Linked DNA regions of Lepisosteus oculatus. The protein of the gene in region 2 purifies or fractionates together with the protein of the main gene of each other region. This does not show direct contact. Links are inferred from orthologs where the notes say so. Each region holds a gene or a part of one and is shown on either strand. Other genes may lie near its edges.

Evidence for each region.
Region 1: the proteins of smarcd1 (region 2) and bcl7a purify together in Homo sapiens (affinity purification with mass spectrometry; 5 studies listed by BioGRID and IntAct, counting the BioPlex papers as one, with this or other methods). This does not show direct contact. The link is inferred for Lepisosteus oculatus from reciprocal best matches to the Homo sapiens genes SMARCD1 and BCL7A.
Region 3: the proteins of smarcd1 (region 2) and bicra purify together in Homo sapiens (affinity purification with mass spectrometry; 5 studies listed by BioGRID and IntAct, counting the BioPlex papers as one, with this or other methods). This does not show direct contact. The link is inferred for Lepisosteus oculatus from reciprocal best matches to the Homo sapiens genes SMARCD1 and BICRA.
Region 4: the proteins of smarcd1 (region 2) and bcl7ba purify together in Homo sapiens (affinity purification with mass spectrometry; 4 studies listed by BioGRID and IntAct, counting the BioPlex papers as one, with this or other methods). This does not show direct contact. The link is inferred for Lepisosteus oculatus from reciprocal best matches to the Homo sapiens genes SMARCD1 and BCL7B.

The regions. Positions count from the first base shown.
Region 1 is NC_090717.1:7,063,898-7,071,272, reverse strand, and holds the start of bcl7a (B-cell CLL/lymphoma 7 protein family member A), read right to left. Parts: upstream 3,251-7,375; 5' UTR 3,013-3,250; coding exon 2,921-3,012; intron 1-2,920. Other genes in the region: cfap251 (cilia- and flagella-associated protein 251), read right to left, coding at 3,962-4,107, 4,655-4,756, 5,503-5,731, 6,463-6,606, 7,193-7,283.
Region 2 is NC_090696.1:17,243,860-17,251,791, reverse strand, and holds the start of smarcd1 (SWI/SNF-related matrix-associated actin-dependent regulator of chromatin subfamily D member 1), read right to left. Parts: upstream 3,062-7,932; 5' UTR 3,028-3,061; coding exon 2,842-3,027; intron 1-2,841. UniProt on the Homo sapiens protein: Involved in transcriptional activation and repression of select genes by chromatin remodeling (alteration of DNA-nucleosome topology).
Region 3 is NC_090698.1:6,318,805-6,326,514, reverse strand, and holds the start of bicra (BRD4-interacting chromatin-remodeling complex-associated protein), read right to left. Parts: upstream 3,115-7,710; 5' UTR 3,095-3,114; coding exon 3,034-3,094; intron 2,379-3,033; coding exon of another isoform or gene 2,142-2,378; exon of another isoform or gene 2,048-2,141; intron 1-2,047. Other genes in the region: znf541 (zinc finger protein 541), read left to right, coding at 2,142-2,378. UniProt on the Homo sapiens protein: Component of SWI/SNF chromatin remodeling subcomplex GBAF that carries out key enzymatic activities, changing chromatin structure by altering DNA-histone contacts within a nucleosome in an ATP-dependent manner.
Region 4 is NC_090721.1:463,155-471,231, forward strand, and holds the start of bcl7ba (B-cell CLL/lymphoma 7 protein family member B-A), read right to left. Parts: upstream 3,264-8,077; 5' UTR 3,172-3,263; coding exon 3,080-3,171; intron 1,612-3,079; coding exon 1,536-1,611; intron 786-1,535; coding exon 674-785; intron 1-673. Other genes in the region: tbl2 (transducin beta-like protein 2), read right to left, coding at 5,371-5,827, 6,654-6,806, 7,180-7,306. UniProt on the Homo sapiens protein: Positive regulator of apoptosis. Plays a role in the Wnt signaling pathway, negatively regulating the expression of Wnt signaling components CTNNB1 and HMGA1.

The DNA.
Region 1 (7,375 bases), on a different chromosome or scaffold from region 2:
GGATTCCTCTGGGTGCTCTGGTTTCCTCCCACAGTACAAAGAAACCGGTAGGTTAAGAGGCTTGTGGGAAAACTGGCCCGGGTGTGAGTGAGTGTATTGGTGTCCGTGTGCCCTGTATGGACCGTCGTCCCCTCCAGGTGGTACCCTGCCTTGCGCCTACTGCTTGCTGGGACAGGCTCCAGCTCCCCAGTGACCCTGAATTGGATCGAGCAACAAGAAAGTGGATGGATGGATTGTCTCGAAAAGTGGAGACATTTTTAAGCACACTGGGCTTCTTTTCCCTTTATGTTCTTACAAGGCAGGGCCCTTAGGACCAAGAACAGAAAGCAATACTTTGCAAAAAGAGGGGCGGGTGTCAGGAACAGTGTGCCCAGATGGGTTGTTGATGCTGATTTACTGGCATCTTTCAAGGAAAAGCTGGACAAGATGCATGAATCAGGTAGCTACTAGCAGACAGCTGAGCTTGGCCTCTTCTTGTCTACAAACCTTTGTAGGCTCTTGGGTGAGAACCTCACCTAATATTGTACAATTATACAAAAGCTTGCCGGAACAAGATTTTCTTTCACATTTTCTGTTTAACGGGTATGACCTTTACCCCAAATACTACTTTTAACATTCAAAATGTCTGGTTTTACTTATTCAGCTTGATTACACAACACATAGCCCGGTTCTACAAAACTGTACCAAGATTCGCATGCAAGTAATATATAATAGTGTTTTCTAACTGAAAATCATGTGTTGACTGCTAAATTATTGTTTAGAGGACAAATTCTGAATGTTTGCTCCACTACTGGAAACCTACTTTTAAAAGTTAACCATTTTAATTTTGCATTCATGTGAACAGAAACCTCATAATGTTATAAAGCTATTCTAAACCTACACTGATATCCACTTCAATTGCTCTGGGAAAATAAAGTAACCTATTCTTTAAAGCATATTTTCTGTGCTTGCGTTTAACAATAAAAAATGCTAACACATAATGTGGTTTTGGCCTACAGTCGCCGGATTTATGATTAAAGATGAAAATACCAGGGGGTTCAACCATCATTAAGGGCTCTTCGTGCAAAAGGAGACTCAAAGACATCCTGACCCACCAGACACCACCCCCTCTAAACCCGTGGAGAGCTGAGACAGCGCCTGCCATGCCAAACAAACAGTCTAGACACAGAAGATGCTTAATTCTGCTCGATTGTGAACCACTGGGCAGAAATCCAGCTCTGGCACTGCGGAATCTCACACAAAAGAGTTCCTGGCTATAGCTGTGCGAGATAGCGCTGCGTGGTACCCATGACAAAATTTAACCCATGGGACAGACAGGCAACAAAGTCCAGAGACTCGCGGATTGGAGACGGCCAAAGACGAGCGTCATCCCCGAGAGCGCTCTTTGTGCGCCTCTGACCTTCGAGACGGACCGGATTTGGTCCACTTGGATGTGAAAAGCATCTTCGGCTTTAATGTGTAATTGTTGCATCGATGAGATAAGCAAGCCTCCTATTGTTACTCTCATGGTCGTTGTCACGCGAAAATGCAGGGTGAGAAGCACAGCAGTTTGCAGAGAAAATTTGGAGCACTGTAAATGCCTAGTTAGCGTAAAGAGAAACGTCCCCTTCTCTAAAAATATAGAGTTTATCCGATCAAACTGGATCTTAATTTCCCCTGCTAAACCCGTTTCTGCGTGTCCGTGCATGTACTGTTTTCCCCATTTTAATTACTTGGTCACTAGCTTGCCTCTAATTAGGTCCCAATTTCCATAGACTTGGAACCTTTAATCTAACCAGCAGTTAGACGGGATTAACCTTGGTGCTGTGTTGATGCGAGAGTCCCTTTTCCCTTAACATATATTTACAAATTATATAGGATTCTCATCTTTACCGTTATACTTCCTACGTCCCGATACGCAATTTGAAATAACCCCACATAAATTCAAAGAGGCGGTCATCGTATTGTAAGAGTTAGAAATTTTTACAGAAATATCATTCCAAAAATGTGGGAAAAAGTTGACTTTAGAACGAGCAATCTTCTGCAATGTCGAGGGAAATATATCCAAATCGTGAGTTTATCCTTAAAATACATTAAACCGTAAAAAACAGTTCCCGGGATTCCGTTTTTATTTCCATTACAACAGATTTTTAGCCCTCCAAGGATGTTTTTTATATATTTTCTTAAATCGACCTACGATGCCCTAGTAGAAAAACGACGACTGTTTTGTTACGTAAATCCTTCTTAAAACAATATTGCATGAAAGTGTACCTTATCTTCGGATTTCAAAACACAGACCGATATTTCACAACTGTAAAAGTAATGTGTTGTTCGTTCGCTTCAATGTGCTTTTTTATTTTTAAAAAGTCTAACATATTTGCGTGATCAGCCATGCACTACTTCCTACTCCCAGCCCCCACTGCACGCTACATCTGTTTGCTCTAAAGAGCGACTCTAAGCGCTAAATTTAAACCCCGAGACCGAATAAAAACTATTCTGACTCTAGAGCGCCGTCGTCATAGTATAGTTACAAACTGGAGATTATTGTTATGATTTGTGCGCGCCAGTGTCCCGGAACACTCCGCGCCACACAAAGATCCCTTCACCCGGCATTACAGCAGGCAGAAGACAGCAAAGGCTTCATGTGACTGCAACGAAATGGCTTCTGGGTTCAACCCACATTAATTCTTAATGGAAAAATCCATTTAAAAATTGCTCAAACCTTCGCTTTTGCGATCGGTCCGGCGGCTGGCACGAAGCGCAGGAGCGCTTGAGCACACCTGTGCCAACAGCACGATCCGAGCGATTTCAGTTCAAGATGACCCTTCTCGTTCATTTCATTCTTTCTTCTCCCTCTCTTCTCTCCTCCTCCTCCCCCCCCCAACAAGCTGGGCTTTCTGCTCTTAGATAATGAACCGTGGCTTTTTTTTTCTCCTCTTACCATTTTCGTACTTTCTCAATAGCGGCCATAACACGCTTGATGTCATCTTTCGCTCTGCTCCTGGTCTCTGCGCGGACCGACCTGCCCGACATTGCTGCTGTTGGTATAATATTTTTTAAAGCTCGCCGGCAGTTCAGACACAATGCATACACTCAATGTAGAGCTTTGTGAGGAGGGAGCGCGCCTGCGCCAAGAGAGCACAGAGCCTACAGCTGCATGGCAAAGCCAGGCTGGAGCTTTGTCACACAACTCCGAGCTACAACAATGTAGACAGAAGCAACAAAGGCTTCAAAGTTACATTGTTCACAAAGAAAGTTTCGCGAAAACTTCTCGAGTTGACACACACGATGCTGAAAGTTGCAGACGTACTTCCTGTTTCAACGCAACATTCCAGATGGGAAAGAAAAACAGTCTAAAAAAAAAAAGACTCGAACGGGTTTTGTTTCGGTTAAATTGTTTTACGGGTTTTCTTTTTTTTCCCGCACAATGCACTCGTCCAAGACGTTTCAGTGTCTTTTAAGACGTATATTATATATTTTAGAAATTATTTGTTTCTATGTTTGGATGAGAGGCATGGAACAGCTTTCATTGTGTTTCATCATATTGTTTTTTCATTATGTGATATTTAAACGCATTTTCATAGCAAACCAAAGTATTCTTAATACAAAGAAATTGCCCAGAAGAATAAAATCCAATACATAGTCAGATATATATTTTTTAAAAGTTATTTTGCGGACATTTATCGTTTCAAAATTAGTGCAGTCATTTCAACCTTTAAACTATACATATTATATAAATCAATATAAATAATAATAACACATCAATAAATATCTAGGTAAAATATTTTATTTAAAACAAAAGTTAAGATTTAGAATCTGCGGTAAGCCACTCCAGCTTCTTCTTTTGTAACTGTAAAAATGTTCAAATACTAAAGAGAGCAAAAAAAAATCCTAATTTTACTGACAAAGTGTTGAAGGTGAAAGCAACTTCATAACACACAGGTTGGCAGCTCCATCGACGAGTGGTGGGAAGCATCACAGCCTAGGACAACACAGACTCTCGGTCTGTCTGACCCTCTTCAGAAGATGCAGTTTCCTGGACAAAAACTGGAAAACCCAGTATGTCAGATGTCAAGGTGTCTATCGTGATTTCTTCAGGAATCACACTTTCCAGCAGAGACTCCGAACCTGTCAATTCAACCCAATAAAATAAAAAAAGTTAAAAGTGGTTTCTTCACATGAACTCAACAATATGCCCATCACTGTTCAATGTTACAGGAATACATATAATCAATAGAGTAAATCCTTAATAATTCCCTACACTTATATAGGGCTTTTCTGGACACTCCACTCAAAGTGCTTTACAGGTAATGGGGATCCCCTCCACCATCACCAGTGTGCAGCCCCACCTGGATGATGCAACAGCAGCCAAAGAATACCAATATACTCACCACACATCAGCTATCATGGAGGAGCAGAACAGAGTGATTAAGCCATTTCATAGATTATTAGGAGGCCATGACTGGTAAAGGCCAGGGGAGGAAATCTGGCCTGAAGAATGTCATATGATTTTCACCATTATTATTTCATCCATTATTACCATTAACTACTTAAGAGAGTCTGGTAAGCCATACTCAGTAACATTTTGTGATCTACATCTTTTGCACTGCATTATAGTCTTGTCACTCTGGGACAAGTCACTGCAGAAGACCAAGTAATTTAGTACTGTACATACCTGTAGAATCAAAGCTTCCCAGTTCCAACCTCCCCCCTTCAGGATTTAGCCCCATCAAGGTGGAGAAGTACTCGGCTAGCTCCTCTTCAGTCATGTGCTCACCTAGGAAAAAAAAAAACATTCCATAACGTGTTTCACATCCCCATGTAAACGTCTCATTCTGATTATTTCAAGGACCTTCAGCCATCCGAATGACGTCCTAATCCTTATTATGACATCATAAATCAAGCATAATACAGGAGACTGAGAGAAATAAGAGTTAAAAACAAATGCATGTTTTAATATTTTAAGTTTTATATACTATAAATGTCACAGCTCAAGGGTTGTGAAAGTGCAGCTGAGCTGATTAAGGACTGATGATACCAAGTGGCTGGGTATGAAAAAAGTATGAAAGATCCAAAATTAAAAATGACAAAAAGCCACAAAATGCCTGCCTTTTTTAATTTAAAGGATTTTTAATTCATTAATATCATGTGTGTATATTACAAGAAATAGGGAAAAGTGCTGCTCTTCATGTGAGCTCCTGTATAAAGTGCAGGCCCGCCTGCAGCTCCCCAGATTTTGTTTCTGTTGTTTGCTCTAATGATGAAAATACAGCACAGAACATGTGGGAACAGTCTGCTAATGTCTGAGAATTAAGGTCCAATCTGTTGTATTCTAACAAATCCTGATGTCACTCTGTCAATATTGGAATAATATGTCCCCTCAGACACTGAAGGTAACAAATGGACAAGCTGTCTATAATCATACCCAGAGCATGTGTGACATTTTTCCAATTGATCTGTCAGATGAAAGCAGCAACTTTAAAAGATGCTTTGTTACTTTGGACTGGAAGCAGTCTAACATACCTCTGGCCTGCAGCAGCTGCAGTAGCTCTCCCCTGTTCAGTGTTCTCTCCCCATTCTCATTTTCATAACCCAGAACTTGAAAAGCGTGCCTCAGTTCATTCATAGATATCCCAAATGCTGGGCGATGGTTTACATACAGTTTTATAAAATCTGCCAAATCAATGTCGGTCACATACTTTCCTGTATCTACATACTGGCTGAATTTGACCTCATTCAGCATATCTTCAAGCTGTGAAAATAAGGGAAGAGAGGTATATTTCGAACAGACAGCAGACAGTGTTTCTTTACACAAAAGTGTACAGGAGTCTAGAAGAAACGTCTATGCCAAGCTGATATCCTGGCTCCTTTCAAGAAAAGGCTGGGCATGAATCTGGGATTGATACGTTATTAGCAATCAAACAAGTTAGATGGACCAAAAGCCTTTCTCCTGTTTGCAACCTTTATTATGACAATAGTGATCAGTTTATAGTAATCAAGACTAATTTATTATTAATAATATTAAATATAATAAGGGATACTAAGCACATATGGCCTATAGATAGAATAGGTTAAGAGCATAAAGAGTGTTTTGTTCAGCTCAGACGTGGTGCAAAATGAGAGATTTAGTGCAACACAAAATGGCATCAAGTCAGGCAAGTATAAAACTAATAAGCATTTCTTTAGACAGGTGAAACTATAAATGACTGAATCATTCAAATTAAAGCTACATTACATTTCTTCAGTGAATGTAAAAAGCTCAGAAAGCAGACAGAGAAACAGAATGAAAAACAGGAAGAAAGAAACCTTTAATACAGATCTGACTGCCAGCATCTCTGCAAATCTCCAGACTGAAACCCTTCTCTGAGAATTGTTTCCGATGTTCAAGATACTCAGAGCACAGAACCATCTGTAGCTCATGATTTGCAAAGATGATCTTTGTTATTATTTCAGCCTTCAGTGAGTGGACTTATCTGAACCTGCCTCCTGCTCAGAGGGGTAGAATCCCAATGCCCGCATGACAAAAGGGATCTCTGCCAGGGGGATTCTTGTAGACACCTGTCGGGTCTCCATGGTGTCAATTCCTTGATTGCGCAGCTGGCAATAGTAAAAATAGTCTTCCAGTTCCTAGATGGACAAAACAAAAAACAGTACTGTAGCTCCCATGTTGTGTCTAACAATGAACTTAAATGAAGCGCGTCTATAAAATTAAAACAACAGCTTCATCTTTCTGTCTAGGTAAAATAAAAGCCAACTCATGCACTTCATAGCACAAGAATTAGATGAGTGATTTGATCGCATAAGAAAATGAGAACAGATATTTGCTAGAAGGTGTCTAACTGAGCCTGTTGTGTGTAAAAAGATGACACTTTTCAAAGCATTACTGTGAATTTTATTATACTGCCTATACTGCATTCAGCACCACTGTAGTACACATTGAAGTTCTATGTGCCTGCACAGGAAGTTCTTCATGCATTGATAATACAGCAAAACAGACAAGGTACAACTAATGATTTGCTTGTGTATTATCGACTCCTTTCATACATTCAGACATGGATGATAACGTCTGCTGTATTTCAGAAGAAGCCATTTTGGTTTTAGCACCTTCAGTGTTAATTTGTTACAGTTTAACTACTATTTTTGTTAGATTCCATATGGCATGCAGTTCATTTGTTAAATATATTAGAAAGTGGGGTTTAATAAATCTCCTCACCCTAAAAAGCTCCCCATCTCTCCCACCTTCAAGAACACTGTAAAAGGGAATGAGGTCCTGTCCTCCAAGAGACGCTGCTGCCTCGAGAGCACTACCACAATGCGAGAGAAGGAAAATCACTCACAAAGCCTAAACACGAGATCGATAGACAGCATGGCCTCTACAGGGAATTGAGGAACACTA
Region 2 (7,932 bases):
GTGCTGGCTTTGGAGCGGCTTTCACGCAGACATATTGTGCTGCCGCTGAAGGCCACAGGAGAGAACAGAACATCCTTTCAGTGGCGCCATTTACGCGCTTACAAAAGGCAGAAGATGCTATAAGACCTGAAACGCAACAACATGATTGCTAACAGTATTTGACCGTGAACCAAAGAAACAACGCAGTGAGCCGAAGGGATTTAACTGAATTCGCTTCTGTGGTGAATAATTCCCACGTCGACAAAAAGTTCTGCTTAAACTGCACTAGTCCCATCAAAGAAGCACATCTTTGTTCTTCCAAGCACTCCAGCTCTCTCCCAGGTATATCAGAATGACCAGACCACCTTGAGGTGCGGGCATGTGCCAAAATGTCGGATCTGAAGATAATGGCAGGTGGAACCAAGAGAAAAATGGAGTGTATCCTGCAGCCCCACAGGTTTTTGCGTAGACCCAACACTTCACTGGCAGCAATCTCTCGTTCCCCTTTTGTGCACCATAAAGATCTAAGTTAGGAATTGCTTTGCTAAGGGCAGTTTCTGCTTCCAGAGAGGACTGCTGTCATCTAGGTCTCTTTACCAAAAAGCCCAGAACACAGCCTTACAGCCCTGGGTTTATTGACCAGCGTGAGAGGTCCAGCCCTGCTCTTCCCCCACCACGATTCTGGGACAGAAGCTCATAAGCGATGAGCTTGCACGGTGGCAAACTCTACGACACCAGAAAACCGGATGTTCTCCGGGCAGCGAATTCTGCAGCGTCTGAGATCCCAGGTGAGCAAAGTCACCTTCTGCCACAAGCTCAGAGAGCTCAGTGCCGCAGAGTCCAACCAATTACAGTTGGCAGAATTCACTAGGAGCAACAACACCCAAGAATTAAGTATATTGAAAGGTTTATTGAGTGTTTTAGTCACAGTAAATCTGGCTTGGCCCGGCTTGTCTGAGGGCTACCCTCCTGACCACAGGACAAGGAGGCCGAGACCCCTCCGTGGAGTGAGGAGTGACCTAAGGGCAGATGCAGAGGGATGCAGGAGACATGTGAGGGAGAGAAGGGGATCACGTATAGCATTTATAATGTTTTAGGTGAGGAAATTACATAAAGAGTGATTACAGGCAGCTTAAATTGATTCAGTTCCGGTACCGTCCCATCTCCTAAACTTTTGTTATGAACTCCAGTGATTTTCTGTGTTGCTCCTCCTGCCATTACTGAGCCCCCCCCTAACAAACCCATCAATGACATCAGCACAGAGAGAATTCTAACTGGTACCAAACACGAACACATTACTCCACACCTGGCCCACCCACACTGGCAACACGTGACATTCAATCTTCACCTAGTCATCCAGAATGAAGATCCCAGTCACCCTTCTGATGAGCTAACCTAAGATCCAAAGGACACCCTTTAATTCTGTTCTTCTGTCACTCAACAGGTCTAACGTAGATGGTCAGTATTGACAAACCCTCTTTTAGAAGAAGACTGCCTCCTCTAAGGGAGGTGTGGGGTTTGCCAACGTGGCCTTTTTGCAATGCACATGCAAAGACAAAAAACAAAACTTCAGGAAAACCAAAGGCAGTGTGCACAGCACAGGGTATTGGCACGATATTTCAAGCAGCAGACTGCTGGTCAGACCCTACATGTATTTAAGATTTTTATCTTCACACGTCTGTGAAGGCAAACTCATTCAGAATAATTGTCCCAGCTTGAACAAACCCAAATATGGCTTTGCCTTTTGGAAAGAAAACTGCAGCTCGTAAATTCTGACATGGGTCTCATACCATCTGATGCTGCTGTGCCACGGAAATCATCATAAAGGGATTCAAATATTATATTGCTACCGAGGTTAAAAGTACACGCTGTTCGTATTTTAACATCATAATTTAGCAAACGTGGGATTCCTTCAAATATTCACACCTAACTTTAAAAACTTCAGCCCTTCATGAATAGCGAGAACTACATTAATTCAACACACATCAGCCCTACTTCGATACCTTATTTCAACTGTAGGGGAGGCTGAGGCGCTAAATTTAATTTGCAGCAAATCAGTCGTCGTGGCTATTGCTTATTCTGATCGCCAGTTGCAAACTTAGAAAGTTCAGTATCTTCGTTTTCTCCAGCAAGAAGACCCCGAAAAGCCTTTTCAGTTCTGCTTCCCCACCATCTGTGAGAAATACGACCACCTCCACGATAATTAGTCACACATTTCCCCCCACCCACCCCGTCTTAATTATGCCGGGCCTAAGCCTTGCTCTGACCGGGGAATACTGTGAACCGCATCCCTCATCAACAAGGGAAACAAGAGGGAAAGGGTGAGAGAGAATGAACTACAGCTGCAAAAATATATACACCCGCAACTTCGGCCACACAGCTGTACAGCTCATAATTGTGCTTTATCAGAAAGAAGCCTGGAAAGATAGAAACGGAGTGCGTTCAGCATCTTCAGCGTCACTTTCCTGGATATTGCAATGCAGAGGACATCCCTACAGTACAGCTGGACAATGCATGTGTATCACCTGGGCACGCTGTACCGGGAAATCAGCAAACCTTATCCCCACCCTCACCTCCTACGGCACATAAGGTGGTAAATGAGCCGTTTCTCTCAACGGCGGTTTAGCAACACAGCACACAAGCACAGAACTAAGAAAAACAGATATTCATCCGAAGTTTTCTCCTTGCCGACTTCTATTCTACCGCCTCTCTCTAACCGGTATACCCGGGTAGTTCAGTTTGAGCACCTGATAAAATATAAAGACGTTCGCTGGTCCTAATCCACACACAACCCCCTCCCTCGCTTCTCCGTCTTTCCCGGCTCCCTTTGTTCCCCTGACGTTACCGCCTCCCCCTCCTTACCGGGTATCCGGGCCCTGGCATTGGGGAGCGGTAAAGGTGGTTCTGTGCTGCCGAGGAAGGACCCATCCGGCCCGAGGGAGTCCCCGGTCCCATTCCCGGCCCAGCACCCGGTCCCGGCTGCCCTGGACCCAGCCCTCCACCGCCGCCTCCTGCTGCCGCCGCTTGGAAGCCACCGCGAGCCGCCATCTTCTCCCCGCTGAGCCCGTGGTGAAGAGGATATCGCGAGAGGGGCTGTACGAGATTTTGCTCACTGGTTGTCATAGAAACTGAAGAAGCAGCAATTATTCACACGGCTCTGAGCACACGCTGAACTTGATCGAAGCCATATTGCTGAAGGACGTGAAAGCAACGTTTATTTCCTAATTTGTCTTTAATATGAATAATTATGGTTTCAATGAAATGACTAATATGGAACGTGCGCAATGTTTATGTATCGTACGAGAATCAAAATCAGAACTCGTGTAAATTCAGTGTAGTTTTTAATTGTTTTATTATTTTGCTTTTGCAAGCAACTTTCTGGCTCGTAGATTCCCGTGCCGAATATAGTTTTCCATATAGACAAACATCAAAATATACATCTTGCGATTTTCACATTGGAATATTACTGTAAACCATCACAATTGCGTCTTCAATCTAATCAATGCGCTTAACTTCCCAAACTTCTCAAACATTTCTGCGTCGCCGGTTCAGTTTTACTGGCTATAAAAAGTGCTCGAGATAGTAACCAGCAGATGTCGCTGCTCTTCATTTTCCTCAGTGGAAGAATAGGTCTGTAATCCTTATATTCTTATGTAAAGCAGTAAATGAAGATAGATGGACTGATACAAATATTTATGATCTGACACGATTATTTAAACACCAGCCTCCCATGGTGAATATCTTGATATAACTATTATTTGCTAGCATTTTGGTCTTGTGTGCATCAATCAAGTGACATTCACTGGATTAACTTCAGTCTGAATGAGGTCACTTGGCACAAACTAATCTTCTGCACTGTAACCAGATTCTCATTGGTAAATACAGCTATGAAACAGAATGAATTATGAAACTGACAAGACTATACACACACCTTAGGAAGAACACCTTTTGTGTTATGCATGTTTTGTTTTAGAAAAAGCATGTCTTAAGGGAATTATGTGTTCCTTGTAAGCAGCATATAAACGCCCACTTCACAAGTCAACATATAGCTATACCACACTGATGGTATAAACAGCTATCCATGGCTGCTTACTATAATAAAACCTAAACTATATTACTTTAATAATATTTACACTCTATATAATGTACAGTACATTATAGGTTACTTTAATAATATATTAAATCACATTTAATATTCACATTACCATTAGGGACTGATTGGTTAAAAAGTAGATTGTGGACTTGATATTCCTATCTGTACAAAGCGAAACGTATTTGAAGAGTTGGATCAGCAACCATGGTATTTCTGTGCACGGATGAACAGCTTTACTGTTTGATTTCACAGTCCTACGTAACAGAACGGCTTTACAGAGCCAAGCAGACGACGAGTGCTGAGCTTCTCTTCCTCCGACAGCCCATTTGCAGGGGCTGCGAAGTTTCACTTGGTTGCTTGCCTCCCATTAGCCTCATGCAGAGCAGAATTGGGCATCCTTCTAACACGTTGAGAGCCGTCTTCACCGGCAGATGTCGGGGAAAAAAAGAACATTCTCTCATCCTAGGAGGATAATTATCCTGAAACAATGCATCACAGCTGACATGTCCTCCACGCCTCCCTTTTCCTCTTCATCCTGAAGAAGTGCTTTCTGTCAGTCCTAACAAGGGTGACCTCATACCTCATCGCGTTTGTCAGAGCCAATTTAAGTGCAGACGGGAGAGGGGCAATGTCGGAGCCGTCAGGAGAGGAGATGCTCTCTGCTAACCACTATCTGTTCAGCAACCCGGCCCACCTCTCCTGCCTCGCCGGTCAAAGGTCCCACTGCTAGGAGAACTCAATCGTGACAGGTGGGGGAACGGAGAAGCGAAGTTCGCAGATCGATCTGCGGGAGAGTACCGGTCTGCTCTGTGAGCTTGCCAGCTGGGCCAGGGAGCAGATGAGTAGCCCCGCTCACGGAAAAGATGACATTGTTCCTCCCTGTCCGATTTGCATCACACACAGCCGAACGGCATTTGCGCGTTCCTCCAGATGGGAAATGCATTCTGGAATCGGGGGTTTAGGATACACCCACAACCAGGATGTCCCCTCTATGTGACGGTCTCAAATGGGCATACTGCAATGTTTTTAAATTGCATAAGAAAATCTAAAACTACGTTTGTATGATTTTTTTTAAGGCACAGTGTTAATTACCCAGCTGCGAGGACGTGGCATCTGCCTTTTTCACTCAGAATGTCAGAATGTCGATCTCCTTTGCATTCAGCCTGTCAGTCTGTCTGTCTCAGCCAATGTCAATCAGAACCCCCCCCCACTCACAAACAAACTTCCCCTTTCGGCTTATTGATTCCTTGATCTCTGGCGTGCTTCCTTGGCTGCTCTGTGCTCCTGTCTAGCTTTCTGAAAAGTTCATCTCCGATTTAATACACTAATCACATCGAGCTAATTGAATAATACTTGTAGCTGGGCCACAGGCTAATGGAATTGTGTTTGCTCGCGTTTGTGGTGCACAAGCTAAAGTCCTGTATTATATTACTGAAGTTTTTTTTTTCCAGAAAAGGTCCCTGTTTTTGTTAAAATGATAGGTGTCTTTAGAAGTCTGCAGTAAGTCGGAGCCCTTCAGAGATAGAGAGATGAAATGTTGTCCCATCCTTCATTACAATCTCCTATAACAGCACATGTTGCAGATGATATGGATGACTAAATCCTTTTTTTAAACATGAGGGCCAATTGGGTTTATGTTGTTGGAACACAGCAGCTTTTGAAAAAGTCCCTGCAGCTCTGCTGACACAATCCTATCATTCCTGTGAGAAAACAATTCTGAAGGATACACAAACAGGCCCTGTGGATTTCAGAGCCTGAGACCTGCCATGTCAGATGTCAAGGTTTGCTGTGAAAAGACAGACACATGGTCCCCAGTGAATCCACAGTGAAGGATATTTGCAGCAGTTGCTGGCCCAGTTGCACAAAACAAAGCAAGAACATTTTATATATTTCACTTAAGGGGTCCTTGACTCTGTGTTGCACAGGGTAGCAGAAGGACACTGAATCCAATATCCCAGTTAAGAGGAAATACATAATATTCAAGGGGTTTAATACTTTGATTGGGTGGCACAGTGGCACTGTGGTTAATGTTGCTGCTTCTCTGGGGCTCTGAGCTGAATTCTGGACCTGGGGTGCTATCTGTGAGGAGTCTGCATGCGTTTGGGCTTTGTGAGTGTGTCCCCTCCAGGGTGTGTTCTGCTTGTGCTTCTTGTATGCTAGGATAGGCTCCATCCCCCAACCCTGTACCTTGATGGGAAGAAGTGGTTAGAAAATGGGTGGATGGAATATTAAGTCTTCTATGTAGGAAAGCGAACGCTGCCGATTCTTTTTATAAGAAAATGCAGTGACTCTCCTATGCCTGGGATAGGGTGCTATAGAACATCACATAGGGCCTCTACAAATGTCAGGAGCAAATAAAGACTTACACAGAACAGGATTTCTGTGATGGATGACAGGGCTCATTTTACTGTTGTACTTCCTAGGAAACAGCTTGAAAACGGTGCAATTAATCACTTTCTCTACAACCAAGATTTTCCTGCTCCGAGATTCATCACGGAGGAGGAGGAGGCTCTGTCTGAAGTCCCTCCCCACCCCAACACCCCCGCTCCTTATCTCCCCTGCCTTTGCGGGCTGATATCTGCTCACATGCTGTCACCAGGAAGGAAGGCAGGCGAGGAGACACAAATTAATTTGAAGCTGGAAACTCTTGTCCTTCCCATTAGCCAAGCTTCTTAAGATGGGAGCATTTCGTGGTTCAATCTTGGAAGAGGGCCCTTCCACAGTTACCCCCCCCCATGACTAAAATCTACGTCCTCTAAAGAACACCATTTGTCTCCTCCTTACTCTCTCTTTTCCTCTCTCACGCAGCTGGGGCAAGATCTGAAGAGTGGTTCGGCTTGCAGAATACAGGCTAGATCACATTAAATCACCACACATGTCTGGCTGTGTGCCCCTACACCCCCGCCCCCATAGAAACAGGGATGTCAGATGGAAAAGTGAAACCATTGTCCCAGCGGGACTGTCTTGAAGGTAACTGAAAGCAGTAAGAAAATATTAAAGAAAACGCTTTCTCAGTTCACTCCTGTTCCGTCTGACATTTCACCGGGAGGCGCTAACAGTGTTAAAACTGACGGGTGACACTCGATGGCGGCTCTCGAAGTGCCTCGCTCATAACTCACGCAGCGTTGTCAGCAGCACTCCCAGACGCAGTCTTTTCTGCTGTTTTTGTGCCGATAAGGCCGGGTGCCTCTGACAATTTACAGTAAAACAATGCTGCTCTTTGGAAAACACTCCATGGGCGAACTGCACAGTGCCGTATGGATCTGAAGGCTCTTGTGTGGGTGGGGTTGATCTGACAGAAGCACTCTGGTGGTTTCTCGTGTTGGTACCAGTGCCCTGCTTCAGCAAACAGCTGTAACACGATTTGTCCCTCTATAGTGAAGCCTGGAGATGGGCACTGAAAGGTAATAATAATAATAATAATAATTGCTTACACTTATATAGCGGTTTTCTGGACACTCCACTCAAAGCGCTTTACAGGTAATGAGGACTCCCCTCCACCACCACCAGTGTGCAGCCCCACCTGGATGATGCGACGGCAGCCATAGTGCGCCAGAACGCTCACCACACACCAGCTATCAGTGGGGAGGAGAGCAGAGTAATGTAGCCAATTCATAGATGGGGATTATTAGGAGGCCATGATTGGTAAGGGCCAATGGGAAATTTGGCCAGGACGCCGGGGTTACACCCCTACTCTTTTCGAGAAACGCCCTGGGATAGGTCATCCCTCCCTTTTTCCCGCAGCTGGCACAGCCTGATGGCCATTTCCCTTGGGGCGCCCTGCCAACCTGGCAGTCCTCATGTTCCGCTCGCCACTCTACCCCCAGGGCGCCCACATGGAACGTTACCAAGACGCCTTA
Region 3 (7,710 bases), on a different chromosome or scaffold from region 2:
GTCGCATCATCCAGGTGGGGGTACACACTGGTGGGGGTGGGGGGGATCCCCATTACCTGTAAAGTGCTTTGAGCGGAGTGTCCAGAAAAGCGCTATATAAGTGTAAGCAATTATTAATTATTACTATTATTAAGACTTTCTCAGGGACACAGAATCCAGCTGCAGCCACACCTGCGCTCCCAGTACGAAGGTGCTTGTGAAAGGCTGCTCCGCTTCTCACTCGCCCCGAGACACTGCCCACCACAATCCCTGCCGGAAGAGCTCGAAAAACAATTATTCCGAATGGAGATCCATCCTTGGGAGAGGGATCGGCGAGGCCCGCAGCCGGATGACCACCTGAACACTAGAGAAGAGCTTCCCAGCTGGATCTATCCTGGACCTTTCCGGACGGAGCTTACAAAACTGATTCACCTGGAGGGAGACGGAGACGGGGAATGGGGCTCTTCCCATAACCGGGCTTCCCACTGTTGCTCCCTGCCAGCAGGAAGTCCAGGATGTGATCAAGCAGCAACACAGCGGATCCCACATCTGGAAGACACATCTGTGCCTCCTAGGGAAGATAATCCCTTCCCTCCTCAACAGACCTGAACACCCACCCTCGCGCAACGGCATCTGAGAAACCAACCCAACCCAAGCAAGCACGCCAGAACAATGGGCATCCATACTGGCACCCCCTCGCCTCCCAAACACCTGCCCACCTGCCGAGGTCTTCACGCGCTGCTGGCGAAACTGCCCTAGTGGGAGAGCGATGCCCCACTCCTCCGCCTCCGCCGGAGGGGCAGGACCCCCCACAGAGCCCCCGCAGAGGCCAGCCCCCCGCCTCCCAACGAGCTCATTGATGTGAGCTCTGCGCAGCTGCTGGCTCTGGGATGAGCAAGCGTTTCGCTACTTTAGAAGAGAGCTCAGACAAATGAGCACTATTTAGCACACCTGCAGCTTGTAAGAAGGTACGTCAGACATACCAGCAGGGGGGGGGGGAGCTCGAAGACGTGTTGTCTGTGACAACTCTGGTGTCCTCCTGCAGCTCTTCAACAAGGCCGGCAACTTGAGCACACGAGGCACAGGAGTCAGGTCCAGGGAAGTAGGGTCACTTTCTCAAGCGTGTTGGGCAGGACTGAGGTTTTGGTCGCCATGTTAGAGAGAGCAACGTTTGCTCCGGACCTCCGTCCAGAGGAGGGAAACAACGTTAATTCCCAGCCTCACAGGAAAGTCACAAAGAGAATAAAGGAGCTCCATCCCGTTAACCGTCACAGAGAAGGAGGATGATGGGAACTATCCTGAAAAGTTGCTGATACCCTAGCAAGAAGGGGACCTCAGGACCAACAGCAAAGCGAGCAGACCAATCAGGAAATGACAGAGAAGTGCATTTATGAGCGAAAACAAGAGATCCCTCCTTACTCAAAGAGTGGTGGGAGCATGGAGCGAGCTGCCCAGCCATGATGCCGATGCCCTGGCTGCTCTCAAGAAACAGCTGGATGAGATCCGAACAAACTGGTTGGACCCAGTGGCCACCTCTCGTTTACGACTGGCAGATATAATAAGTGCTTGTGGTGCATCTGTCTGCAACCCCAGCAGTTAGCCCAGTAACTAGTCGTTAGTAATTGGTCTCCATGAAGCGTGAGTGTTTCACACACAGCCCTGGAGAGCCACCATCCAGCTCTCCCAGGCCCTGATCCGAACGCGCAGGACACAGGTGGTCCCACAGTATGTACCGCCCTTGGGGGACACCTAGAAATATGCTGGACATCCTGCAGACTTCCCACACCAGGAGAGGACACCATACAAAGTCCCTGTCCATACACCCCAGAGTGCGGCCCCCCAGTCTGTACGGCCCAGACTCCGGCCCCCCCGGTCCATACAGTCCTAGAGTCCACCCCCAAAGCCCAGAATCTGGGCTCCCAGGTCGACATGCCACCTAGCAAAACTTCCCGAGAACAGCAGAGCTCAGGTCAGTCGAACTGGCAGCTCATCACAATCACAGCTCCAATGGAGTTAAACCAATTAAGCCATTAACCCATTAAATCCACTCCGCGGGCAGGGAGGACCAACTTCACGTCCGAGCGGCGAGGACGGAGACAGCAGAGAAGCCCTCAGCCACACTGCCCTCCCTCCCTCACTGAAAACACTCAGCGCTCAGCCCCATGACAGCCGCTGGACACCAGCACACCAGCCCAGGACAACCCCGCTCGGACAGAGAGGAAGCGGACGGGGCCCTGGCTTTCGCCAGCTCGCTGGCCCCCACCACCACCACCCCCCCCGAGGGAGGAGGGCGCAGGGAGCCCGGGGCACAGCGGCCGGGCTCCGGCACAGACCCGCGGACGCGCACGGCCCGTCCCAGAGAGCCCAACTTCCTCCTCCCGCCGCCTGGCCGGCCCCGAGTAAGTTTGTTTGGGTTTGTTTTCGCGCGGGGGAGACGGGGAGGAAGACGAAGGCGAAGCGGCGGCTCTTTCTCGCCTCCGTGGACGGACGGATACTGGCGGCTGTTCACCTCGCACACACACAAAAAAAAAGTCTTCTTTCCACCCACCCACCTCCCCCTCCTTCTCAACACAACCCCCTTTTCTCGTGCCGTTGCAGCCGAGCGAATGCGAATCTATTGCGTGCAGGTACAGAGAGACAGGCAGAGCTGAGGTCTGGAGCTGGAAGTCTAAATGTGTAGAAAAGCGAGCCTTACACACAAGATATCTGACAGTAACATATTGCAAGCAGCTACGCACTGCTCAGATGAATCCCTGAAACATATTATGTGCCAGGCAGACATGATTTGGTTATTTTCTTTCTATCTAGTGATTCCTCAAACGCAATTGCGTCTAAATATTGAGTTAATGTTGGAATACACTTGGACCGGGAGGGGGGGGTATGTTTGGGAATTTCGCTGTAAAATCGCTCCTCCGGCCCAGCCGTGCGTGTTTTTTTTGGCATTTTGCGGGCAGTAAAAGCGGGGTTTGCGATCCACCTGCAGTGTGCAGATGTTGCGGCTTTATTCGAGTTATACAGATTTATAGAGAAATTGCTACATTGTAACAAACTCACCCGAGACGATAGAGGTGCAGGCAGCGCGGGGTCTCCGGCACAGCCCCGCACGGGCTCCCATACAGGACCCGGCAGAGCAACAAACGGAGCAGGGCAGGGCGGCCCGGCGCGATCGCCTGACCAAAAATCAGACGCACTCCTGCCAGTCTGTGGCGAGCAGATTACAGCACACAGGTCATTTCAGTAGTAACTGTTTTGATTTCCTTTTGACTGATTGCTTTCGATCTTATTTTGACTGAATCGTGAAACAGGTGATTCACATCAGACATTATTTGTTTCATGGGAGATGTGAATTACTTCATTCTGGCAGTGTGTATTGCATAACCACAAAGGTTAGCCTAGTCAAGGAAAAAAAGCTTCCAAATGTCTGTTCCCTTTATAACTAATTTCACATTAACACTCATCATCCTCAGACCTGAAGATACTGTAAAGACTCTCAGTCTGGTCATCTGTAACCTCACATTGACACTCATCATCCTCAGACCTGTAGATACTGTAAAGACTGATCATCTGTAGCTGCACAGTAACACTGAACAATGCCTGATTCGGTGTGCAGCACTGTCTATTGTGAACATGTCCGGAGGAGCCCACGATGAGCATCATTAGGAGCTGAGTGAGGGTGAGGAGCTGGGGACTCTACCCTGGTCTACTTCTGCACCAGCCGTTTACACTCAGACCAATAAAAAACGCTGAAGGAACACAGCCTGCTTCCAGCAGGACAGTCCCTTCACTACACGGTTCTAGTTCACCTCCTGGTTCTAGGTCTTAATCATAGACAGTGTCCCCCTCCCTCTCCCTGTAGTTAGGAGTCCCGAGTCCTTATCCACTAACCCTGTCATTCAGCTAGTGATGCCCAAGCCTTACCCAAAGGGGGGCGGGAGTGTGGAACAAGCTGATACCCCGACTTCCTTCAGGAAACAGCTACCGAACGGGCAGTGCAAATCGGGGAGAGAGGTCTTAACTAGCAGGGCAAGTATAACATTTTAAAGAGGGCTCATTAAATAAAAAAGAATAACAGGAAAGACACGTTCTTTAAAATTGTACTTTCTTCTTGTAAGTCCTGGTCACACAGAATCTAATTTTCCAAGGGCCTAGAGCTCCCTTTATTCCATCTGTAGAGTTTAGGGGGAGTTTTAGGTCTATCTTGGAGAGATGGAATTACAGATAGCTGGTGATTGTCTTTTCTGTTTCTCAGGCACCGATGTGCCATCACACACATGCTCACACAAAATCTCAAATATGAAAAGACACACACTGAGTTATTAAATTCTGGGTTACCAAAAATCAAGATTTTAGTAAATCATCAAATCTTCAATTCTGACAGATGAGTTTATGTAAGAAATGCTGCAGAACTACATATAAAATAAACATGACATCCAGAAGAAAGAGGAAGGGTAGCACTGACTTCTTTGAAGGATCTGAAGTAAATAATAAAACGATTCAGTCAGGCGTAAACAGGGACAGCCCCAGCCGAGGCCCTGGCGCTTCCTATGACCAAACGGGTTGTAAGGAATGAGAAAACGCCGCTGCTGATTGGCTCAAACTTAAAAACATCACAAAGAAAGGGTCGGCGCAGGATGGAGCCTAGCCGCTCGCTGATTGGCGGATCGTGGAATGATTGGCAGAGAGGGGAAATCATTAATAAGAAGGCGTGGCCCCGGCTGTTGTTTATAGTTCCTGATTGGCTGGATTTGAATCAGAGTTAAGGCTTGTGTTTACGCTTTAAGGTGGGGCTACAGACGGGTTTACTTTGGGACAGAAATACAGAGAAAAAAAAATCAGTCCTACTTCAGAGAGAGACAGAGAGCGTTAGTGACAGGAGCGCGATAACCGGGGGAGCTACGGTTCCGATTCGCTTTATTATCGATTTTTATTTCGCTGATTGTGATGTGACGCCGAACAGCGATGGCGACCGGGAGACATGTTTTCGCCAGGACATAACCCTGGTCTCGTCTCTTTCTCCAAAAGTTGTGTCGGATCCCAATAGGCGATGGCAGAAAAAAAAAACAGCAAAAAAAAATACTCATAAGGCCGTGTACAAACTGCACAAGGCGACGACCGTAAAAAATGAGTGCAGTGGTGTTTCCAGTCAGCTGTTCTGTTTTGTTCTCTGAACGAGCCGCCCCCTCTTCCAACACGCACACACACCAAGATGTTTTTGCAAAAGGTTCCCACAAGAAGGCGACAGATCGCTTCCGCGTCTGTTTCGGAGTCTCGGTGACGTGATGTATTGACACAGGCGCAGCCTAGGTTCACGGACAGGGGTCCGGTGCGCCCTAGACCAGCAGCATCCGAAGAGTAGGGAGAAATTAACAAACTGGTCTGATTAAGCCAGTAAGGAAATGACTGGGGCGCTTAAGAGCACAGCTGGACTGGAATCCTGCAGGTACACTGGCCACCCCAGGAGCAGGAGAGTAGAGTCCTCTGTTGCTCTCCAGGCCACGGAGGTATGGGGAGTGTTGCTGTGCAGACAGCAGGTGACTATCGTGACAAAAATAATAACAGTATCCTCACACCTGTATGGCGCTGTTCTGGACACTCCACTCAGAGCGCTTTACAGTAATGGAGAATGCCACCATTGCCACCAGTGTGCAGCCCCCACCTGGATGATGCGACAGCAGCCATAGTGCACCAGTACTCTCCCCACACACCAGCTCTCAGTGGGAGGAGAGCAGAGTGATGAAGCCAGTTCAGAGATGGGGATTATTAGGAGGCCATGACCGGTAAAGTCCAGGGGGAAATTTGGCCAGGACCCCGGGGTTACATCCATACTCTTTTCGAGAAATACCCTGGGATTTTTAATGACCACAGAGAATCATGACCTCGGTTTTACGCCTCATCTGAAGGACGACACCTTTTTACAGTATAGTGTCCCCATTACTATACTGGGGCATTAGGATCCACACAGACCGCAGGGTGAGCGTCCCCTACTGGTCCCACTAACACCTCTTAATAATAATAATAATAACAATTGCTTACACTTATATAGTGCTTTTCTGGACACTCCACTCAAAGCGCTTTACAGGTAATGGGGACTCCCCTCCCTAAAGCAGCAGCCTCAGCTTTCCCAGGAGTCTCCCCTCCAGGTACTGACCATGCTCACACTGCTGAGCTCCAGGGGGCTGCCAGCTGAGCTGCAGGGTGATGGAGCTGCTGGCCATGATGATAACACCGGAGTCAGGCAGGGGTCACGCCAGCGAGCAATGAGCCCGAGGGGTCATTGGTGCCAGGCCCGGTCCTGGGGACCCCAAAACCTCGTTGCTGCAGCTCCCCAAACCGAACCAGTGTGTGTTTCTCTCCCCACCCAGAGGTGGGAGACTGTCAAGGCGCTGAAGCAGCTCAGTGAGGTCCGGAGGCGACCTCCGTCAGTGACCGGGGGAGGGACGGCTGCAGGCTGGGTTCGCACCCGGGGCCGGGCGGCGGGAGGGAGTCACCTGCTCACCACGGGTGTATCTGACCGTATTGTACTCCGAGAAAAAAGACAGTCGTGTATAAAGCAACAACACAAACAGGTTTACTCGCTGCTTTTCGCCAGGCTTCTATCGCAGAGGTGACACGTCACACGTCACGTACAGGCCCTGCCTGGGCATTCAGAGAGGGTCTTCTCAGTTTTGTTTCCACGCAAGTGGGAGGCGCGCCAGTTGACGGAACAGCGCTCATAGCAGGGTTTTTAAAATCTGCGTCCGAGCGAGTTCCCTTTTCCCGGAAGTCTGGGTAAACGAACCTTGAGCGCTGTGAGAGGCGAGTGGAGCCCATGAGCACACGCCCCCCCCCCCACCTCCGGAGTGGGAGATACTGCCACTCGTGTCGCGGAAGGCCACGTGGTTCTTACCCGACCCGAGAGCGGGATTCCGGATCTCGCGACTCTCAGTTCCAAACAGCCGCGCGGGGGCGAAGATGGCGGCGCGCCCTCTCGCCGTCCTCGAGGTTGGCGCCACTGCGTCACCGCTCGGGTCCGGGCGCGTGGTCTGGCCGCGAGGCAGCACCCCGGAGGAGGAGCGCTCGAGCGGTCGGTCGGTCGGCGGGCGGGAAGGGGACGCTCGCGCTGTGTACTTGAAGTCGATCCCCGGTCCCTCCCGCCTAAAGCGCGATCGCTCGAGCCGCTTGATCGCTCGACTTTCTTGAATAATTCGGTCGCCATTTTCTTTAAAAACTTCAAAACGGCCACCCGGTCTCTGGGCCCGCGGTAGCGACCGGCACTGAAATAATCTGATCTGGGGAGCGAAGGAAACGGGCAGGAAAACGCGATTGCGATTGACCCCAGTAACTACGCGGCGTTGTGAGTATCGGCGAGTAATATTCACTCATTTATTTTTATTCAGTGAGCGCTTCAGTCCATCACAGAGTGCAGCAGACCTGGCGGAGCTGCGCCGTGTACCGATTATTCCACTGCGGCTTCATAAACAAGGCCCAACCAATGAAGTGATTAATAACAGGACTGTTCTGTTCTACTGTACTGGGACTGTAGCTCCTATTGTAACAGGACTGTTCTACTGTACTGGGACTGTAGCTCCTACTGTAACAGGACTGTTCTACTGTACTGGGACTGTAGCCCCTATTGTAACAGGACTGTTCTACTGTACTGGGACTGTAGCTCCTACTGTAACAGGACTGTTCTACTGTACTGGGACTGTAGCCCCTATTGTAACAGGACTGTTCTACTGTACTGGGACTGTA
Region 4 (8,077 bases), on a different chromosome or scaffold from region 2:
TTGGGGAACAACAGCCTGGCCATAAGGACACAGATTCTGAACACCCACTTTCCCACACACGCCCCCCAGGAGGAAAAAACTGGGGAGCTAATGCCAGGAAAAAGACAGGGTACAGGGGGTCTTCGTCACCCAGATTTCTACTATATTGGGCGTGGCAGAGGGTTAACCTCTCGACTATGGTGTACTCTATCAGCTCAACAAGACCCGCAGCTCATAAAATGTGCACTCGAGAAAACAAAGCTCAGGCTGTGGCATGTGGACTCCAACTACATAATTATCCAAACAAAACACAGAACATAATTACGATCTTAAAAGCAACAATCTATTTCTGCGGAAGTGCAGGCTTTTTTAGATCTTGTGATTTTAGGTACACCCACAGATGAGGCAAACAAGAATTTGGAAGTCAGCATTTTGAAAATGACTGCAGGGCACTTGAACAGCACACGTTTGATAACTGGTGAGGGCGTGAACTATGGATCAGGAATTAGAGATCCCGATCTAGCGCAGTGAACTTCGACACCACATGTCTTTGGGATGAACAAGGAGAGGTACAGTCCTACAGACGAGAGGCCCCTGGGCCAGTAAACACAGAGGAACCTCTGAGCTCCTAGATCTGTGCAGCTGAGGAGCTGTACAGGCAGTCGCTGCGCATGTGCGAAGGGCAGTGTCGCACCCTGGAAGTCCAGCAGGACAGAGCGGTTGTTCTCTGAAGCCGTATCCCCGGTGTCCACAGGGTAGCCCTTCAGCTCCCTCCCTGCGCTGCCATTGGTTTTGCACTTTTCTTTCTACAAGAGAGGAAGAAGATTATTTTGCATTGAAGTACAGCGACCTGCCGCAGACGCTCACAGAGAGCAGTGGCCGTGCTTGAAGTGGAGCAGGATCTCTAGATAAGGCCTGAGCACTAGGGTGGGCTGGGGGCAATGTGCTAACAGTACAATCCAATACAACAAGACCACGAGGGAGACAGACATTTCCAGAGAGAAGACGGTATTGTGAAATGTTTTAGCTTTTATTTTTTTTCATTTTAAAGCTACTGCTCAAAACGAACAGTGAAATTAAAACAGAAGGCACAAGCAGAGACTATGTGGAAGGGCATATAAAACTGGCAGCAGGAGGCAACATGCAGGAGGCTTTTCTTTACAAAAAAGGGTTGTGGGTGTAGGGAACAAGCTGCCCCAGCCTTTGTAGAAGCACAGTCTTCACAGTGAGACGAGACTGGACAAGATCTTCAGATTGACTATCTGCTAGCAATCAAACAAGGACACCCTTTGCTCTTGACCTTAATGTTCTAAGTAACAGAGCTCCTAAAACACCTCTATTTTACTCTCTTCCACATTCCTCCTGTTCCACAGCAGCAGCCCTGTGGCATCTTGTACTCGAGTTGTCTAGTTTATCACAAACAGGGACAGGCTGGCGTCAGCAGCAAACTCCATTCATAACCTTCCATGGACATTATTCTGTGCAAATTTCACCTGAAGACATTTTTAAAGCATAAAAATAGAAAGAGATAAACACTGTAGCAGGAAGAGCCCTACCTCCTTGGTATCCACGACAGGCACCCACTTAAATATCCTCAGAGAGGTGTCGCCTACAGTCACCCACTTCTTCTCCCTGTAGGGGCGACAGAGCTGTTACCAGCCGCGAACTGGACAGCCCCCAAAGGAGCACCATATCGCTGCCGGGCGGTTTTCTCACCCGTGGAGACACCACCTCTCCTTTCAGTAAGGAGGCTGGAAGAGGAACTCGAATCCCTCCTCTGCAACAGAGCCAGCGCTCCCCGCATCAGGGGGAAAGACACTGTGACAGGAGGAGCAGGCAGCACTCAAGACTCCTCAAACCCACACCAGCACCTCAGCTCTTCCAAGGGATACTTCTCAAGGTTCGTTTTTGATTCTACTTAAAACACAAATACAGCAGGTCTCCGCAGTTTTCCTAGACGGCCAGCTTCATCTTTTTAAAAAAAACCCTGGCGTCATAGCCGCAGGAGCAGCAAGTTCACACGAGAGACTGGAGAGCCGGACTTCTGTCCGATCACCTTTAATAACCCCTGGGCATGGCCCCGCCGAGACCTCTAGAGGGGGGAGCCCAGAAACTGCAGTGGGGTGTCACGGTGTCCACGCTCTCCTGCGGTGCTACCGTGAGCTGCGGCTTTGTTTGCAGTCTCTGTGGACATCGGGGTCCTGACTGCTGGCCTGCAGCGCACAGTGAACCCCCCGCAGGACCGGACACGCAGCCCGAGGAAGGGAGCTCAAGCCTCGCGCCCCGTGCCAGCTCCACGCACGGGGGAAGCGGAAGTCGCTCCTCAGGCTGCACGAATCCACCCGTGTCCGTGTCACACGGTACCCCTGCTCATGCCTCCGGAGCACCGCATTGTGGGATATACACCACACCGCCCAGACTGACCACACTCATATCTTTCAAGGAATCAATCACTGCGTGTGGGGGAGGAGGAAATATCTGACGAACTTTCAGTTCATTTATTTCGTTACTCGGTCTGTAACAGAACAGCACCAGTTTCCTGCGCCCTGCAGTTGGCGCCGTTCTTGCCCCTTTCGCAAACTCGGCATTATTTTCAGGCAAACCCCTGTTCCATCCCCAGCTTTAACGTCTGAAAGAATTCACCCTCAAACTTCTGGTTCCCTGGGGTATTAACTAACAGCCAACTCCGCACACATTCCCCCTCCTTCTCCCTGTGCACTCGACTGAAGGCACGGCTCCCGGCGGCGCGGCCTGTCGCAGACCTGTTCGAGCTAGGATAGGGGAAAATACATTATTTCCTCGTTTCGGCTGAATTGCCGATACCCTTCGGTAATTTCGGCACACGCCGCTGTCAGTCACCGCAGCGGCGCCCGCCCACCCGTCCGCGCCTGCCAATCAGCTCTCGGCTACTCATCCCACCTCCGCCACCGCCCCGCCCCCGTCTCCAAGGAGACCGGCTCTCCCGGCCAGCGATAGGCCAGCAGCCCCGTCACTCTCCCGCCAGTCACCGCCGCCGCCCCGCCTGCTCCTCGTCCCCGAAGTTTCTCTTACAGGATTGTTTGCTCGATCTTTTCTTCCTGCGCTCTTCCCTCACACTCACCATCGCCGGACCCTCTCTATGGCCGCCATCACCTTCTTAATGTCATCCTTGGCGCGGCTCCGGGTCTCGGCCCGAACCGAGCGGCCTGACATCTTATTTCGGGGCTCAGGTTTTTATATTTTTCCTCTTGTCGCCAATCCGACCGAATGGGTCTCGCCGTCCGGTTTTTTAACCTCGCGAGACTTCTCTCCCCCCCTCCCCGCCCCCCCGCACGCGCGCGCGCGCGCCACTCCGCACCCGCCCGGCTCCCCACGTGGTCCGCCTGACGCGTGCGCGCGAGGAGCAGCGCTGTGTTTCTCTCTTCTGAGCACGGAATAAACCTTCACTCGTTCCTTACTATCAGTGTTAGTGTTATTGTTGTTGTCATCATAGTGCATGTGGAAGGACAGGAGTATGGTGGCACAGTTGTTAGAATTGCTGCCTCGCACTGCTGGGGCCCTGGGGTGCTGTCTGTGTTGTGTTTGCACGTTCTCCCTGGGTTTGTGTGGGTTTCCTCTGGGTGCTCCAGTTTCCCTCCAATATCTAAATACAAACAGGTAGGTTAATTGGCTTCTGGGAATACTGCCCCTGGTGTGTGTGTGTCCTGTCCAGGGTGGACCCTGCCTTGGGCCCGTTGCTTGCTGGGACAGACTCTTGACTCCCCTGTGACCCTGCTGTGAAAATAATGCAGGCAGAAAAGGGTGAAGGATTGGCTCGCGTGCTCTGGAGACCCAGCTGGCCTGGCCTCATCGCCTCTCCCCCCACACGAAGAGGGCCCAGTTCCCCCCATTTAAATTTGACTAAAACTGAGGAGATGTGTGTGCATAAATTCCAGGGAAGATACATGGTATTTTATGAAATTCTAATGAAATGTTTTGGATGCTCATTTAAAGGCACCTGTGAAGTCTTGTACTTTCTGCTCAGAAACAGTGTCTGCACTCGGTCTTCCTTGATCACGCAGCTGCAGAAACCCTGATCAGAGACTTCTTCACAGCTCAGCTGGACAGATGAATGTCAACAGTCTTTCCAGAGTCTCCCCACCAGCTCCTAAACAAGCTCGGCCGCTCGCTCTCTAGCCTGTTGGAGCCTACGTGATCACACCGCCCCAATTCTGACACGTCCTCACTGGCTCCCCATTACCAGCACCCCAACACCCCCCATCCCCCCAGCACAGCGCACCTCTCCCTACTCCCTTGGCACACGCAGGCCTTTACTCCGAGAAGCATCTTCAGGCCCTTCTTCCAGGTACAAGTGTCTCAGCCGCCCTGCTCCACAGCTCTGGGCCTCACTCCCCATCAACAGGAGAGCTGCGAACTATTTTACAGTTTTGAAATCTAAATAGTTACCTGTTCAGTCAGGCTTTTAATCACTGCATGCCTTTTCCATGTGTTATTTATTTTTTATCTTTATTTCTGTTTAGTGAGACACTGATCACATCTTTTCCGTGTTCATTTCACGTTGTGAGATATGAGCTCGTATCCCTGTCTGTATCTGAACAGCTTTTCCCTCCCGAAACCACTGTGGCCGTTGCTACAGCCTCAGAAATGTCAAAGAAGTAAGATCAATATGGTGCCTTTACAAGCACTTGTAAACAGACTCATTGTCATGAGCCAACTTTACAAAGGGCAATAGCTCTTTAATGTGTAAAATCAGTCTTCATATCATTCTAGACCTAATCTAGACCTAGACCTATGATCGCTAATCGCTTGACACCAAAGAGCCCAAATCCATGATTTCAATCAATATACTCTGGCACTAGGGGGCGCACAATGCTCCCTTGGGCCCAGAAACTGACTGGTTCAGCAAACAACTACTGACCCCAGACGTGCCTTTGATTTTTAAATAATTTCCATGTTGATGTGGAGAAGCAGTCACTTATAAACAATGTTAAATCTAGCAGCAGACATCACTGCTTTTTACAACAGACTTGAAATTCTTCTTCTGACTGGTGGCTCCCTGCGAGTTGAACTGCGGTGCAAAAAAACCTACAGGCATCATCGAACACGCCTGCCGTCAGGCCGCCCGCTACAAGCTCAAGGCGCCGGAGCGGAGGCTGTGGGTCGGGACACAGGGGTCAGACCCCACCACCTGCGTCCTGCAGGGCTCATGAGGAGGAGCAGTGACCATTACCAGCCAGCAGGTCTGTTGGAGCAGCAGCACTGAGCTCCATGCACATTTTATTACAAACCTTTTTTTTTAAAACCAGGATGCACACAACCCCAAGCCCAAACGCAAGGCAAAGACACTGCAGTTCCTTTCTTGAGGGGGGGGGAGGGGGGACAGCCAGGCTGGGGCCGGACCCCTCGGACCCCTCAGTCCTTGGGGGTGCACACACTGTCCAGCGCGGCCTGGGCCTCCTGGATCTGCAGCTGCAGTCTCTGGCGCATGGCCTCGTTGGAGGCGTTCTTCAGCATGGCCTGCATCTCGCGCACGGCGGCCTGGTGGCCCGGCGCGTTGTGGAAGACGCGGATGGCCCGGTCGCCGCAGGTGAGCAGGAAGCGGCTGTTGATGTCGAAGCGCATGTCTGCGATCTCCTCGCTGTGCACGCCCTGCAGCTCCTCCTCCAGCTCGCCCGCGGCCGCGCTGTACAGCGCCACGTTGCAGCCGCTGGAGATGGCGGCCACGCGGGCGTCGGGGGACAGGGCGATCCGGCAGGGCTCGGCCACCTGGCACTGGCCGGTCCGCAGAAGGTAGGGGTCCTGCTGCTTCTTGTACTCCACGTCCGTGTCCCACAGCTTCCACGTCCCGTCTTTGGACACCGTGGCCATCCTGCAGGTGGGGCCAACAACAGAAGCTCCAGTCGAGTCCAGACGAACCACCGCAAGGCACTAACAGTCCCTGCTGTGCCTGGTTAAACCCAGAGCAGACCCGGTGCCCGAGGGAAGTGCTCTTTAGGCAGACGCCCAATCAGGAGATGACAAGTGACGTCCTCTCCTTGGCAGCCAAGTCTTGCAAGGGGCTGTCATAGCAGCTGGCCTCCACTAGAGGCCGCCATTATTTGTAAATAGTCTTATCAGGTTATTGGTGGTGGTGAATTCAACATTCTCACATGGGGTAATAAGTAATATGTTTGGGGATATAAAGGACCTTTAGAAAAAAAGAAAAGCCGTAAGGCCGTGGCTCACCATGACTAAGGAGTATTAATAAGCTAGGAGATATACTGCGCTTCTCCCAAAGGCCCTCTGAGGGGCAGGACAGGATACCTGAACCTCACACAATACCCACCTCTTATACATCACTGAAGAATATTTAAACATCAAATTACAACAAATTGTACAACATACCATCCACTTAAGATCGAGAGCTTTTTACTGTCTTTTTAAGTTCCTACTCGCTCAGTAATACAGGAGCAGCAGGAATCGGTGTTCTCATCTTGCCCCCGGGCAGCTCTGCCAGCTGTGTGCCCCACTGGGGGATCCCCCAGTCACAACCCGCTGATGGGGTGACGCAGCTCAGACTCCCCACGAGAGAATCAGGGAGCCCAGCCTGCACCACCTGGGGGCTCCAGCTCAAGACCTTTAGAGTCAGGCCAGTCATGCAGGAAAACATTTCAGTCCCTGACAGAAGTGCTCTCAGCTGCTCTCCGACTCCCTACCTGCGCGAGTCGTTGGAGAAGGCGAAGGAATAGACTCCAGCCGAGTGGCCCTTCAGGTCGAAGGCTCGGACCACTTCCCTGAAGTCGCCCATCTTTCCGAAGCACACCTCCCACACCTTCACGTCCGGGGTGAAGCCGCAGGACGCCACGAACCTGCCGCACAACCGTGAGCGAGAGCACAGGTTCACACTCGCTGGGCCAACACGAGGTCCCCGCAGCACAGCAGCACCGGGGCGGTACCGTGTGGGCTGAACCGCACGGGCCCGGTTCTACCAGGTGTCAGCAGGAGCTCTGAGACGGCCACGGAGACCTGTCTCAGCCCATCTGCCACCCAGAGTCTTCTCCTCATTACAGCCTTCCTCAGACAAACCAACGAGTGTCCTTACCACTTTGAAACCTTTAGTTCTGGACTCAGAACTTCAATGGTCACGCGAGACTGACGGAGCTGTTTACAGAAAGAGGCACAGCTGGGGTTACTCGGGGTGGGTGTGTTGGGGTGCTGGGGGTGGGGCAGCGGGGTACTGACCTGCCACAGGGAGAGATGGTGGCATAAGAGTTGGTCATCTGGTTGGTGTTGATAGTGGCCAGGACCTCCCCCTTCAGGTCCCAGATCAGGATGGTGGTGTCACTGGAGGCTGTCATGATGAACTTGCCTGGAGCAGGAAAACACACGATGGGACAGAAGGGATGTCAGGCCCTCATGGGGGCAGTCCTGCAGACAGCACGTGCCTGGTTCATGTCAAACGTCAGTGTTAAATTCTCTCACAATGTCAGGGCTGTGTTCTGGAGAAGCAGACCGCTCACAGAGGTTATTTTAACAAGGGGTTGCCAACAGCACCACTGTTTTATGTGTGACTGATGTCACTGGGTTCTCAGTAAAAGCTCTAATACAGATGCTCCACACACCATAACCATTAAATAGCATTTTGTAAAGTAAGAAAAATACTCAATACAACACCCACTCTGAGTTCTGCTCTTCCATGATTTCTACTTTTTAATTGCATCTCTCTTTCCAGACCTTAAGGGTCAAAAGTGTTTAAGAGAAGTGAAAATAAAGTGTAAACAAACTGTTGAGGCAAACAAAACCAGCTCAGCAACTTCACAGTCCCTGCCCTCACTCTCGTCAGCCGAGTGGATAAAGCAGAAATCACAGCCATGATGAGTTTTACTCCTGGATATTTCACCCAGTTTGGACTCTCAATTTGTATTACAGTATTTTCTTTTCTTTAAAACAGAACACTAATGAAAAAGTTTCCCCTGTCAATGTCACCCACTCACATTGTAATTATTTACACAACCAAGCCAAAATATTAACTAAAAAATAAAAATATTTATCTTATTCAGGTTTGGTTTCATGCTCATAGACCAACAAAGAGGCTGTAACTAAGAACAGACAATCAAGGACAATGATTCATCAATCGCTC